Drosophila melanogaster: one gene and its partner. The protein of the gene in region 1 interacts with the protein of each later gene in a pairwise test. Each region holds a gene or a part of one and is shown in the gene's direction. Other genes may lie near its edges. The genes, in order: lectin-33A and CG7191.

Evidence for each region.
Region 2: the proteins of lectin-33A (region 1) and CG7191 interact in a two-hybrid assay, tested with the Drosophila melanogaster proteins (one large-scale study listed by BioGRID).

The regions. Positions count from the first base shown.
Region 1 is NT_033779.5:11,000,100-11,005,444, forward strand, and holds lectin-33A (lectin-33A), read left to right. Parts: upstream 1-1,972; 5' UTR 1,973-1,983; coding exon 1,984-2,109; intron 2,110-2,164; coding exon 2,165-2,572; 3' UTR 2,573-2,639; downstream 2,640-5,345. Other genes in the region: aub (aubergine), read right to left, coding at 1-7, 66-559, 687-819, 1,171-1,266; RpL9 (ribosomal protein L9), read right to left, coding at 2,808-3,139, 3,412-3,652; Nup154 (nucleoporin 154kD), read left to right, coding at 4,881-4,979, 5,040-5,202, 5,269-5,345.
Region 2 is NT_033779.5:7,764,625-7,774,489, forward strand, and holds the start of CG7191 (uncharacterized protein), read left to right. Parts: upstream 1-3,003; 5' UTR 3,004-3,093; intron 3,094-6,637; 5' UTR 6,638-6,695; coding exon 6,696-6,981; intron 6,982-8,444; coding exon 8,445-8,626; intron 8,627-8,840; coding exon 8,841-9,034; intron 9,035-9,576; coding exon 9,577-9,772; 3' UTR 9,773-9,865. Other genes in the region: CG46025 (uncharacterized protein), read left to right, coding at 1-63, 131-530, 590-742.

The DNA.
Region 1 (5,345 bases):
AATTAATCTAAATTTTTAAATTACCAAAGTGAGAGTGATGATAAATGTGAGTACAGAGGGCAAACCTTAGCTTGAGGATCGTAGTAGTAGCGCGAGACCAGCTTCAAGTCTAAGCCCTCCATGGCCCTGCGCAGTATGAGATTAAGGACCTGAAACTGCTCGGCATCCGTAGATTGCACAGATCCAACAGCCTTGATCTTAATTTCAATGTTTTCGCCAGCACGACTCTTCGTAACCAGTTCCAAAACATAGGGGCTATCTTGAACAGCTTTGAACTGATTGATGCAAAACATATTGGTTCCGTCAAAGATGTAGCCGCCCAGGATCCCTTTATGTTCATACAAGAAAGACCGTCGCAGTCGTGTAGCCTCCACATCAGGCGTAAAATCGACGCGGTACTGGTAGATGGTCCAGTTTGGACGCTTTAATACCTTAAAATAGTTTGCCTGCACGGTAATATGAGTGCCAACCACTCCTTTCTTGCTGGTCATCCCTGGAGGACGTGAATACACCAAATCCGTTATTAGCCTACGGCCGCGCACGGAGCCACGCGGATCGCCTGAATTAAATTACTAATTAATTACGAACGCATTGAAAACAAATGAGAATAACAACAGCTCACAGAAGCTGGGTTCGAAAAAAAAAAAAACAAATTTTTTTGAGCAAAACCAAATAAAACTACTAACCCTCGGACTTGTGCATTTGCACCGCGCTCAAACTGGATTTCTCTATCGAGGGACCCACTTGAGCATCACCACCACCACCATTGCCTCCGGATGCTTGATTTCCTTCCGAGTGGGAAGGGTCCGACTTCTGACCCTGCGAATGAATTGGTTAAAAAATTGATTATTTAATCTAATTACACTTATTTTATAACAAAGTGTTATTTAATTAGCATGTATTTGTTTTTATTGTCACATGCATATTAATAAACTGTTATAACAACTCATGGCAAAATGATGTACAAACATGCTATTCGACCTTAACGTATTACAAAAATGTAATGTAATGTACAAACGATGTACACACAATAACATTATGCATACATACATTTGATACGCATGCTGATCTTACATAGAAATTGAAATGGGATGCACATTAAAAGACAAGGCCAAGCTAATTTTGGATAAGTTGGATAAAAATAAAACATGAAAATACATAAATGCCTACCAGCGAAGGAGCGAAGCCGCGATTGGCCTCTACATTATTGGGCTTTCTTCCTCGACCACGTCCACGAGCAATTACAGGGTTTGGTGGTAAATTCATAATTACACAAATTACAGTTGCACTTTCTTACGATCTACTCGTCACAAATGCCGTTCAGTGAATAAGAGATAACAGAAATTACCGGGTAGTTGTTAGACGCCCAGGGATGTGAGTTATTCCTTCAGTTATCGGTCGCGCTTAAAGCGATTAATTGTAAATCTCCGGACACATTTGCAAAGATGTAGCTTATACTTACTATTTATTGTATATATTATCTATATATCAAGTCATAAAACAAAAATAAAATTAATATGAAATTATTTATTTTAACGTTTAAATGTTTGAAGGTGGTACTTATTGAAAAGGCATCGTTGAATTCAAAACAAGGTCTATATAACGAGATATCTCAGTGGAACAATTGGAATTTTGACAGGTGTAATTCCATAATTCCAAATTTTTATAAGATCTTTCATATTAAAATTATAAGTTCTTTTTTTATATTCCTTTGTGCAATTTAAATGTAAAAGGGGCGTATGTGCCATCGTCCAGATGGCATAGTAAATTAACAGGCTTTGAATATTTTTGTAATAAATGATAATGATAAATTCGCAGTCGTTGTACATGCTTGCCATTTTCGCACTGATTGCCCTAATTTGCTTAAGATAACGTTAATAAATATTATCTCCCGACTGCTTGCAATAAAATATAGTTCTCTGCCGAGCGTTTAAAAGTAGCTAGCTTTCATATAAACATATCAGTTGGCCCTAAAACATGAGCATGTGCATCAAAGGGTCTTTCGGTTTCCTTCTTATAGCTCTGATTCTCGAATGTGCCAATGCACAGACGTGTCCGTTGCCGTTTAGTCGAGTCGGAAACAAGTGCTACCACGTATCTTTGCAGGAGGTGCGTACAATACGTTGTACAAGGATTTTATTTAAACGCAAAAATATTATTTCAGGCCAACTGGCATGTTGCCGATCGAAGCTGTCGAAAACTTGGTGCCGAACTAATGGTGCTCGACAATCAAGAGGACAAACTCCTCACAACCACGTTCCTAAAGAGTATGGGGCTATCCTTCACCCAAAGCTGGCATCACTCCGTTTGGGCTGGCATCAATTGCTTGGGTAACCGGCGCACCTTTCTTCTCGCCAGGAACGGCGAAACTGTGCCGTACCTAAACTGGGTACCCCTGGAACCGAACAACGCTTCCCCCGAAGAGGATTGTGTTGGATTCGCCAATTACAATGGAGCCTTTGGGTATCACGATATAGAGTGCAAGGTTCAGTTTCCATATGTGTGCCAGAGGGAACCAGCAGAGGACTACCTCTGCCTTAAGCGGGATCTCTTCCTAAAGGTCCTTTTGTAGTGCTTTCAATCTCAAGTTATCATGAACTTATGAAACCTTGCAAATAAATAAATAAGATAAATAACACAATCTTACCAACGAATTTTCAACCAATCATCACTTTTTTAGTGGAGCATTGTGATAAAATCTGAATACATTATATTACAAAAGTTTAAAGACACTAAATTTCTTATTGAAAGTTTCGGCCGTTGGTTTTTTTTTATTAACATTTTAGGTTGAAACACATTCCAAAAGTCTAAGACTCTAGCTTCACAACGGTCGTCTTCTCGGACACGTACAGACCGTCAAGGAACTTACGGATATCCTTGTTCTTGACGGTCGTGGACTGCTGGATGAGGGCGGCAGATCCGGAGACAGACTCAATATCGTTTCCCTCCACGATAAGTTCGTCCTTCTGGGCAGTGGAGTTGACCACGGTGACGCCAGGAGCCATCTCCACACGACGGATGTACTTCTCACCCAAGAAGTTACGGATCTCAATGACCGTGTTGTTCTCGGAGGTGACACAGTTGATGGGGAAATGGGCGTACACAGCACGCATCTTGTACTGGAATCCAAACGTGACTCCTGGCGAGAGAGAAATTGCAATTAATTGTGTGGTACTTTGAATGCAAATGTCTTTAGGAACCTAATGCCGAATCTAATTTGCCAGCACACACTGAAAATATTTACTAACTACTATATAGCATTTTTAGGTAATTTGTAAAGAAAATTGATATCTATGAATGGAGTTTAGTAAATCGTCTTCCCAGATATTATTATTAAATTCTCGTGTGATTGGCAAATGAAAGGCCTGGCTGTGAAAGTGTTCCTGTTGTGTTTACCCTAGCTGTACGCACCCTTGATCATGTTCTCGATGTGACTGCAGACGGTGCGGACGGCGGCCAACTCCTTCTTGGTTCCGAACCACTTCTCCACCTTCAGGGTGCGCTTGTCGGGCATGTACATGTCCAGAGCCAAGTGCTTGAAGCTGCGCTTCAGGGTGCCGCGGGTGCCGGTGATGGTCACCACACGGGCCTTCACCGAGGCCTTGATATCCTTAGGGATCTTCACGCACTGGTTGGAATTAATGGTACGCATCTTGATGACACTGTCGGCAAAAACATTAATTATTAGTTTATCAAGGCTACAAGTGCTTGTCACAGAGCATTCCAAACATCGAATCGCAGAGTTCACATCGGGCTAACAAAACGTGCGCTGCCTATTGTTTTCCAATTTGTTTATGGATCATCCATCCCAGCGGAAATGGAAAAACGGCGGCTCTTCAGTGCCACACGCCAATTGCCGTTTCACTCGATTCGATGTTTTGGGGCGCTTTTTCACACAAAACTTACGCTCCGTTAGTCCCTCGTTTGTATGACACAAATTCTGGATGGACTCCTCGCTGCAAGGGGTGGTTTTAGAGATATTTTGGGTTAAAATTTCAATAAAAATATAACGCGGAACACACTACTCACCGGAAACGGGGAAAAGAAAAGAAGGGAAATTTAATGTGGCTGTGTGAGGCGCACAAAATGCGCTAAATTTTGAGCGCCATGTGCCGTTGGGGTGCTGTTAACGTTACGCATTGTGCTGTTAAGCGCTAGAGTTTCTGTGTTGAGTTACAGTAGTCTTTTTTTTTTTTTTTGAAAAGAAGGCTTAAATCAAGTCTATTTGGGAAAGCGGAAAGTGGATTTTAATCACAATTATAAAATCCATTGGCAAAGCTTCGAAATGCTGAATTCATTCAGTAGTTTGAGGTTTTACCGATTTTAGAGAATAACACACCTGTTGCGCTCAACTGAGTTATACTCTTCACATTCTAATATTTTTATATTCTCAAAAGTTTCCGGCATGGGAAGTGCTTTTTTTATTATACTTGTATTAGCACAGTTACTGTTTATATAAAATTATCAACGTTTTTTCAAAGTATTTAAGCCCACTGAATATGCCTACTAAAACCATTATTGTCTATTAATATACGCGTCCTTATCATATAATATATATTAGCAGTAAAAGAAATTATTATTAAAATATTAATTTCATGCACGTTTGCAAATGTTTCTTGTGACAGACGATTTCATAATACCCCGCTAAGGCGCCTGAAATTGTGAAATCCATTAATATTCAATCGAAATATACCAAAACAATACCGAGAATGTGAGGATATCTGGTAACACTTAGCAGAAGGCGGGAGCGTGGGTACATTGAGCATCAGTCGACCAAATCTTCAGATTAGTTTGTAGTTTCATCCCAAAACAGTGGTCTGACGGCATTTTAAGTTAGCATTGCACCCGAGTTAGCCCGCCTCATCACAGTTTTCAGCACGATGACTCTTCCGCAAGCACAGCTGGACTTTTTCACGACGGCGACCAGTATGCTGGAATGGCATTACAATCTGGAGAGAAATAAGCCGGGTCTGCTGGAAGTATGTATTGGATACGGATGTTTATCAGCTTCTCCTCCTTTAATGATACGTTCTTTGTAGCTGACCGGCGTTAGCCAGCATGGGCGGGCCACGATGAGCGGACTTAATGACTACGATTACCAGAGCCTGTCGTTTTTGAAATCGGATAGAACACATAACCTACAACAAATGCGAACGGTGACCAAGTCGGCTATTCCCAACGAGATTCTGGAGCACTTTAAGCGTACGTATCCTGGGCTTCATAGCCCATAGATCTATCCGTTCCAATCTTCGATCCTACCTGTTGTAGACATAAAATGCCACTGCACCATGGGCCTCTTTCCGGAAATCGGACGTGCCTGGCTGACTATCGATTCGGAAATCTAC
Region 2 (9,865 bases), 3.2 Mb from region 1:
GTTGCGCATATCCCAGCCCTACTCCTCGGATCCCCAGGATATACAGAATATAGTCAGGGCCAGGTGGGGATTATACATGTTAATATGATACTACTGCTGTGATATAATCAAATATGTTGCACATAATTAGGCAAAAGTTCCGGGAGACCGAGCTGCGTATTCGCAATCAGCTGGAGGACAAGCTAAAGGATGTCAAACTTGCGGTCACCACTCAACAACTAACCGAACTTATCGAGGATGCCCATCGTTCCAGCGGGGAGATCATTATGCCACAAGAACCTTCGATGGAGGACGATGACTTCCAGGGCGGCGCAGTGAACTCTAAATATCTGGACGATGCCACCGATGTCTCCGAGGAGACGGTGATCAGCGAGGATGCCATCAGCCTGACGCTGGCCAAGCAGCAGTACGCCGAGGAACTGGAGGCCGAAATGGAGGACGAGTTCAATCGAGGTCTGCTCATCTCCAAGCAGCAGTACGATCAGCTGCGCTTCGAGGATGAGAAGATCGTGGCGCTCAGAAATGCCAAGGTGAGTCCATCAAAATGTTCACATTAATTTATATTTTTATACTATTATTTTTCGATCAGGATATTCGCGAGCTGTATCAACTGGCCGAGGAGATCATCATGGGTGAGAACTACGTCGAGGCACCGGAGGAGTGCGAGGAGGAGGCGGTGGTGGAGGAGCCGGAACAAGATATCTCCTCCGATCACGAGGCCCAGGAGCCAGCCAAAGCCTAATGAGAAGCTATAGAATAAAACCATTTTTTACGTTCGGTGGACAGCGGCTGGTCGTTTATCCTGCTGCACCAGTTTTTAGCGAGTTCTACAATATTTGGCAAAATATTTGGTTTCCCATCCATGAGAGTCCAGATATTTCACCAAATCGTGCAAACATCAATTAGGCTGGGGTACCTACCACAGTTTGTTAGACGTCGGAAGAGGTAGCGCAATCGAAAAACGTTAGCTAAACTGTCACTCAATCTCAGCGTTTAGGTTGATAACTTGATAACTGTCAATGGGGTTTAATTAAAGCTGTAACGACTTGATTGTACCCGCATGACAACAAAAATAAAGCGGCCGAAAAATCCAAAAACAAACGCGTGAGTCAATTGCACATTTCACTCGCCAACGCCCGACAAGTATGCTACAAATATTTGCTCAGCGATACGGATATGCGTAACGGAAAGATATGCGGGCCAAATAGTGTTCTGAAAACCGAATCCTCGAAAGAAGATTACACGGAAAACTAATTTAGTAAATGATAAGGTCCGCTGAGTTTTCATGTGTATAATGATTTTTGGGTAATGATTTATTTTATTTATTTTTACAAATAAATGTATATGATGATATATATTAATTTCATTATAACTTCATAAGAAATATATTTATATATGACATATCAGGCTCTGTTTCCCGGAACACCAACCACAAATTTCAGAGTAATTAGCTGCGCTAATTTGTTTATCATTTTGTTTGGCACGTCGGCACATGGCGAGATTGCATGTGCCAAACCAGAAGGGCGTGACGCATTTGGATGAATCGGTGGCCATTTGGGTGGGTGGACTTCGGACTGATGCAACTTAAGTCGCACAATCCGCTTGCCATAAGGAGCGTAAAGTATGAAGAAGTGGAGGAGAGCGAACGAAATAAATAAAGACGACTATAAATAGCAGGTTCTGGCCAAAAATATGACTTTTGCCGCGCTACATGAGGAAGCCTCCATCCAGTGACACTTTCCCCTGCCCGCGAGCACTTAAACTTTTCAGCGGGCTATTATTGGTTTTCTCTGCGTAAGTGTCATCTTCTGTTGCCCCAGGCGATTTTCAAGAAAACCCTATATATGCTTATTTTCCCGGCCCGCCTTTTAGGCCAAAACAACACACAGTCACACACACATACATACACACACTCAAAACAATAACGAAAACATCGAAGGATCGTTTGGATTGCCCTCCATTACTAACGGCAATTTCACATTAAAGTGTCATCATTTTCAAGGCCTGCGGGCTGCGACGGTTGTTGACATCCGACTGGATGGATGTCCAGACCCTTCGATTCCTCCTCTGCGATTGCCGTGTTCCTTTTGGATTTGCAGTTCAACTGGGAGTCGGACGGAAAGGATGGACTATTGGCCGAGGCCATTGCCGTTTAAGTTTAGGCAGCAAATGTTTTAAATATACACATTAGCTATAAATATAAAATTTGATTATTTTTTAATAAACGCCAATAGAAGGTAAAAAAAAAACAGACATCAAACCCTTTCGAATTAAATTTTATGAGTTTACCACATTTAAATAGATTTTTTATCTTTTTCCAGTATTTATCAGCCTGACTGATAGGCTATATCATCATCGATCTATAAATATAATCGTTGCCTAATTCATAAGTGCAGCAATATGACAATACCATTTTGCACTGGAATATGACAATGCAATTACATTTAGGCGATTCGCTGGAAATTTTCAAATACATTTCCAAACTACCGGCCTGCAGGGATTTCCGCAGCGTCATGCTTGGCAGGTCCTTTGAGGAACTTTGAGACCTCCCACAGAAAGGCGAGATTCCGAGAAACGAGTGACCCGGACTATTCAGAATACGTTTCCGTAAACAGGGCCGTCAACAAAGGCTTCTATCCACCCCAACCCGCAGATAATTTATCACCTTGCCACGTGACGTCTTTTCGCGACTTGTTGTCTACTTTGCGGCGCATATCGTGATCCTGCTGAATAATTGCCACCGACATTATTCATTCGCGAATATCGCGCTAAACTTTTTAAATGTCCCCAAAATATTTCATTGATAAAAACGGCCGTGGCTTCGTTTTCCAAGGAGGAGTGGCCAGTAAAAGCTTGTTTGAAGCTTTTACGCAATTTTTGGCGCCTTTACATCGGCTCGTTGAAATCGACGCACTCGTCATCGGCCGACGATGGCAACGAATCGGTTTCAACTTCGGATGCGGCCTTATAAAAGGAAGCGGCTCCGCGAGTCAACCACGCAGTGTTCAACAAGTAGTAGGTGCAACAGTTGACAGTATTCCGATTCTGATTCCGATTCAGTAACTCAAACGGTTTCCAGGAATATATTTTAAAGTGAGTGTTAACGGTGTATTTCGAATATCAGTCACGCCAAACTCTTTAAGAAGTTTCCAAAAAATATCTTGTGGTCTGTGTTTAATTTAAGCCAGTCGATTTCATAAAAAGGATAACTAAACGTGACGTGAAATCTTAGTAATGCCGTCGCTTTCGTCATCGATTACAGTGTCGTCAATGAAACTCGAAATACGCGCCTAAAAAAATAAATAACAATTTGTGGACATATATTAAATATGCCAAATAAGAACAGGAGAACTCTTATATTTAAAACTATTAAGTGAATTCGTTCTTAATAATACAGAAATATTTTTAAGGCAAAGAAAAGCCAGCTAAAACTTAATTCATTAATTCAGTACTTTTTCTTTGGTAAATTATTTTAATCTGCTCTTATATTTTGAATTGTATCAGAAGATATTTAACACAAAACTACCTTTGGCTTAAAACTGAAAATTACCATAAAGATAGAGCCTAGCCATTGTAAGTTCTCTTCAAAAATAAAAGTAAAATTTTCTTATTTTATTTCACCAACGCTTTTTACAAGAAAACCCCATTTATATGATTAATTTTATATATTATACTAATCTTGTAAATGTTTAACTACAATAATTTATTTTTATTAATTTATTAAAGTTCAAGCTTTTTAAGCACAGAGCATCACAGCTGAACTAGTTAAATTTAAAAATTCATTTCATTGCACTGGTGAGCTTACAAATTTTGGGAAAATTGGTTTTAAGGTTACTCGGGACAGCAATCCATAAATACTTTATCAATGTCAATAACTCAAGGAATTCCCACCAATGCCAAACACAAATGTCAATAAACCAATGAAAATCTAGGAGAAACAAATAGAAAAAAGCATCAATATTTGTTGTCCCCGACCTCGTTCTCTGTTTCAAACCCCTTAAGTTCCACGTGCAAAAATTCCTGACAATCGTATAGAAATTTAAAAAAAAAAACTGAATCAATCGAAAGCATTCCAAAGCTGTTTTCATGTCACAAAAATTCAGCATCCCACAGGATTTTCTCCTGGAGAATGTATTTACTGAAATTGGTTGTGCTATTTCTTTAGACATAGCAACTGAAAAGTATATCTAGAGGTATTGACTTACATTCCGCAGGCTATACTTTTCATTAAAGATTAGTACACGATTTTGTAGTTGGCGAGGATTTAAAACTGCAAAAAAAATACTTATGAATTTCATGGAATTTTCTTGGCTAGCACCCTTTTTTTGATTTTTCGTAGCAATCATTGCCGTCTGTCTGGTCCTTTGGTTTGGCTCAAACACTTTGTGTAACCTTTTGTGTGCAAATTTTGACAAGTATCCCAGATGGTCGGATTCAATAAGTAGAAAAGTTATGTAATATCCTACCCAGGATTGTTACGCACGTAGACCGTGTCTAATTGGCCGGACTCCGGCGACAAAATGTCCGATGCACTTGACCAACTCCACATCCTTAGCCCTAATTAAGCAGTTTTTCCGCCACACATGTCCAGGTGGTACGTAGGCGAATATAGTGGCAGATAAGGCCTATGAAAATTCCTTTGGGTTCGTGTGCGTTTCGGTTACACTTCAACTCAATTTAGCAATTAGCTGTGCGGTTATTGCGAAAAGGAAAACAGGCGACGGGTAAAAATGAACGTACAATTATATATGGGTTCCTGAAACTTCCCTCGCTTCCAAGTTAATTTCATTTTACCTTGGGGACATCGCCAACCAGGGTGAATTCCCTTCTTTTGCTTTTTTTTTCCTATTTTTTGTTTTTTGGGCTCTGTCCACTTTTTGACACTGTGTCAACAAGTTAATTAAGGCATTTTAACAACGATTCGTGTTTGCTTTGTTTACTTATAATTCGTTCTCTCCGCAGCAATTTCGAATAAGTTGTGCTTTCCCAAAAATAACGCCAAAGTGTCGCCCACTTAAGTGAGTGCCAATAAAAGAGGAGTAATTGAAAAAGTTTTCTTGCAGGAAATGCCCGAAGAAATTGCAATTTATTTCCAAAATTAATACCAAAAAAAAACAGGAAAATCGCAATGCACTTAAAGACCTAAATCTACGAGAGAACATTGTTCGCAAATATTTTGACAAAGTTGCAAATTTTCAATTGAATTTAATCAAAACGTGACGAAAAGTGAAAAGAAAATCATCCACAGAGAATTTCTCTTTCTCCGAGCAATTTTAATGAACCAAATGCAACCGTCTTTATTTTTTTGAGAGGGCGTGACAGAGTTGATTTGCTTGATTGATTTATGTGGTTAACTAACCATATAAATTGAGCTAATTTCAATGTATTTATCTGTGAGGTAGAACAGATTTTCTGGAAAATATTTTAATAAAGATTAATATTATTAAATTATAGAATTATGTAATAAATTATAATTCCTTAAAAAAACAGACGCTTAAACTTTCGCAGCAAACAGCGCTTTAATTATTTACCAAGCCCTTAATTAAATAATGAACTTTGGATTTCTTGGTGAAAATTTTCACACTTTTTTGTCGAAATTTGTCTTAGGCATACATTATTTTCAGTTGCTTGGGCAGACAAATTAAGCCGATCCTAGACATCTCAACCAGCGAGACCGCAAGTGCCAAAAGTTTCAGGCAACTCATTTATATTGCTCGTCAAGCGAATGTTTTTTAAACGCAAAAAAATGCGATAAGGTTGGCGGGTTTCCCCAAAACCCCAACAACCAGGCTCCTGAGCTAAATGGGCTAAAAATACGCTGCGAAGGAGTTAAGCCCACTCGCTCACTTCGGCGACGTCCCATCCTTAATTAAATGAAACGACAAAGCGCACAGAGTGGGCCCAGTATGAACCGCGATGCAGTACCTGACATAAAAAATATTTATAAAAGCACACAAACACCTACTGCACAGTGGTGGAAATCTATGCGAAAAGTAATAGCATTCTTATCAATTTTAATTAGAAACATCTTTCGTTAAAATCTACAAGAATTATAGAGTAGCTTTCATTTGTCTATAAATAAATGGGATGTTAAAAATTAGGCAGTACTTTTTAATATTCGAATATTAATATAAATATATTATTTTTCTGATAGTTGAATTGTGTAATTTCTACTTTATAAACAACATACTGCATCCGTCTTTGTTATTAACTATTTGTCTGCAAAGTACACAACCTTTATATTTTTACCCAATTTTTAAATAACGGCCTTAGTTAGTGGAAAAGGAGTAGAATTTGTTTGCCCGTATGGCCCACGGTTCTTCGCGCGAAGAAAGATTAAGCAGGAGCGCAAAACAAAAGCCCCAGAATCAGCCGCCAAGTTATCCAAGAGACGCCCTTTTGACGTTTGGCACCCACCGCCCATTTCTCCAGTTTCCCTCGCGATTCTCCTACTTTTGGCGGGGGTTTCTTGGTTGCTTGCGTGTTTATCTGAGTATTGTTTGCTTGAGCACAAAGAGACGCCCACACGCACGGCATAATGGGGCGGATGGGGTAGGTATCCATCCCATGGCCGTGGTAGTGACGGTAATTACCCTCTTGTACAAACATCTACGCTTTTTTTTTTTTTGCCTTCCAGAGACATCCACATCGCCAACGACCCGCGCACTAATCCCGAGCTCATCCGCAGAGGCTGTATGAACATGAAGCCCGACATCCTAGCGCTCTGCATCCTGGCTACCACGATCCTGTGCAGCAGGACGCGTCACGTCGCCGGCTTCCTGACTGCACAGTCCACCGCCAGCGGAGGAGCAGGCGGAGCAAACGGTGCCAAAGTGGGTGACCATCAGGGCGTGGCGTCCGTACCACAACGTCTTCATTTGCCCGTTCTAGCGGTCGGGGGCGGACCCGTTCGCCAAGGACCCGCTCTGCCCGGCGATGTCCTGGATGCCCAGGAACGAGCTGTTTACGATCCCGGCGATGGTGAGTCATAAACATCCCTATTACCGCTTTCCTTGCCATGGTAAACTTCCCGGGCATCAGCTAATCCCCAGTCGAATTAAAAGGATAGCAACTGCATCCAAAGACCATTTCAATTAAATTGTTATCGGGTTCTTTTTGAATGCGAAGACGTAATCGTGGTCAAGGTGAATCCTATAACCAAGCTATTCCATCGCCCTATAAAAATATATAGACCTTATTTATATTAGCCAAATTAATAGGCATTCTGATCCATAAAGCTGAGGAACTGGAACTGAATCTGTTCAGGAACTTTAATAAATGAACTAGTTATTTTGTTGTCATTTAGCTATTTTTCTAAAATATTTTCAATATTTAATGGCAGTTATGGCCTCCTATTTACTCCTCACCTGAGTACATGATTACGTTCAAAATTTTTGCTTGCCGACTTTTAGGCGACCCATTCGAAAGGGGTGGACCAAGAGTTAGGGTGACCCATGGCGTGCACTTAGCCGTAACCGTCGCCCACCATCTCTATCCCTAATGGCCATGGTGACCACCGCTCGCTGAACATTTTCGGTCAGTGCACAATTTTTCAAGTGCCTCACATTGTTGACCATCGCACAATATGTGGAGCATGTGTTTGTTTGTGCTGAGCACTTAAAACGCCCACCAAACTGCCCGGGATAGATTTTCAAATTTGTTGACGAATTTGATTCGACGTTTGCGTTTTACGTTGCTACCACCTACCTTCTACCAACCGGCAATAAAATGTCATATCCGATTTTCAATAAGCGAACTTGTTTTCCAAGCGATTTGATAGATGGGTAAATGGATTGGAAATTTAACGAATATCGATTTGGTTTGAGTTGGTAACATTTGAATTTTTGGACATGATCTTATAAACATACATATATGAAACAAAAATTTAAATTTATTTCTGTTTCTGATCTCGAAACTATTTATTTCAATTGAGGAGTCCTTAAATTTAAAACTGTAAATGCTTTGGGTTCATGAGCGTCCGCTGTCTGCGGCTCTTTGAAGAGACATCGAGTGGACAGTGATGGGCAGACTGGATGCCAAATGCGACAAAAGGCAGTCAAGGAGTTGCAGTGCCTGTTGACTTGACTGACGGACGTGGTCGAAAAGCCGAGAAGGCTTCCCCTGCCGCGGAGGGGAAAAGGAATGCTGTGGCCATAAACTCATTGCCGCCAGTCAATTTCCGCCAGTCCATTGAAACGACCGAAGAGCCGGGGGAAAACATATTCCAGCCAACCAGGACAGACAGACAAACAAACTATTCAAACTTTCAAATATCAAACGGCGGAAGTTTCCGATGGCAAGGAGCAGGAGTCGGGGAATTAAGTGGGAGTGGGAGTGGAAGTGGGAATGGGAATGGCAATGGCGTGGTTGTGGTCGGATTAGCGACAGCTTGAATAAACATTCAAATCGCAAATAAGGTCTTTGGCTTGCTCATTTCACGGCAGAATTACTCCGCGCCCAGGAGCTCGGATTGGCAGTGGTTCCTCAAGGTCCCGACTACGCGGATGCGGTGTACAACGAACTCGAGCTGGCCAGCAAGTTCGAGGTGCTCAAGAAGATGGAGGAGGATTTGCGTGCCGAGCAGGAGCTGGTGGACAAATCCGCTTTGCTCATGAAAATGCTGGAGGTGAGTGCGAAGACAGGCTGTCGAAATTTCGATGAAAATGTTGAAAAATACACGGTAAATTAAATTTTTTTAAAATATTAAACATAAACATCAAAACATATTAGCTTTTGCTTATAAATAACTTTTTGAGTAATGCATACTTAAGTGATAATATTTTTAATTTTTATTAAAATTTTAACACAATTTTTTGATCTATGTGCATTTTTTCGCTCAGGATCCCTCATTGGAAACCTTGCCCTTGGTCTACGTGGAGGAGGAGGAGCCGGAGGCTGTGATTCCTTCCGGCGGAGCCGAGGACTACGCCGACTTGGAGAACGCCGTTCAGGATTTGGTTTTGGGCCAGAGCAAATCCAAGCGTTCGCGCTACTATCGAAGGTATCCATGGAAGCGTCACAACAAGAATCGCGGGTAGGTTGCTTTTCTATATTTAAACATTATTCACAATAATCCGAAAATCCACCAAGCACTATACTCAGCTCCATTGACCGCTAATTAATCGAACCCACTTTTCATTTGTAGTTAGTAAATGTTGTCAGTAGTCTTTATGCAGTATTAAGTAGCATATTTTTAGAGCTTAGAACGGAAATCCTAAAATTGCCAATTTCAATACGTCTGCTTGGGAATGGAAAGATTTAATTTAAAGTAAAAATGTGATAAATTCAATTGCAACGAATTGACGTAAATCAAAAGCATGAACCTCGAAAGAAAAAATGCAAAGAATGGCAATTTCAGGAGCATCCTTGCCAAAACGCCCACCCACCAAGTAGTCTATTGAATTTGAACAACTTAATGTAATGCATTTATCAGAGTCTCTTTAGGCCCGAAAGGCGCCCAGACACCAGACACCCAGAACTTCCCACCGCCCACTGAGAGATCGATTATTGATTACTGATTACTGATAGCCGAAGCGTGAACGATTTTGCTAACTACATAACCATTACCATTATCAGTTCTTACATGAATTCTATCAACAGCAACTATGAACCGGAATTGCGTTATGCCTGCACACCTAGTAAGGAGGATATATTCAAGCTGCTGGTCAATCTGCACGAGAATCGCAAGGGCAATCACAGCAAGACGGTTAACTTCTGCAATCGAAAGCGTCCGGCCAAGGCGGTCTTCACCAACATTAGGTTCCTGGGCTAAGGCACAGGATCTGGGATGGAAGCCATTAGCCCACACACACACAGACACAGACACGACACTGACAGACACATATGTATACCAAGCATCAATTGT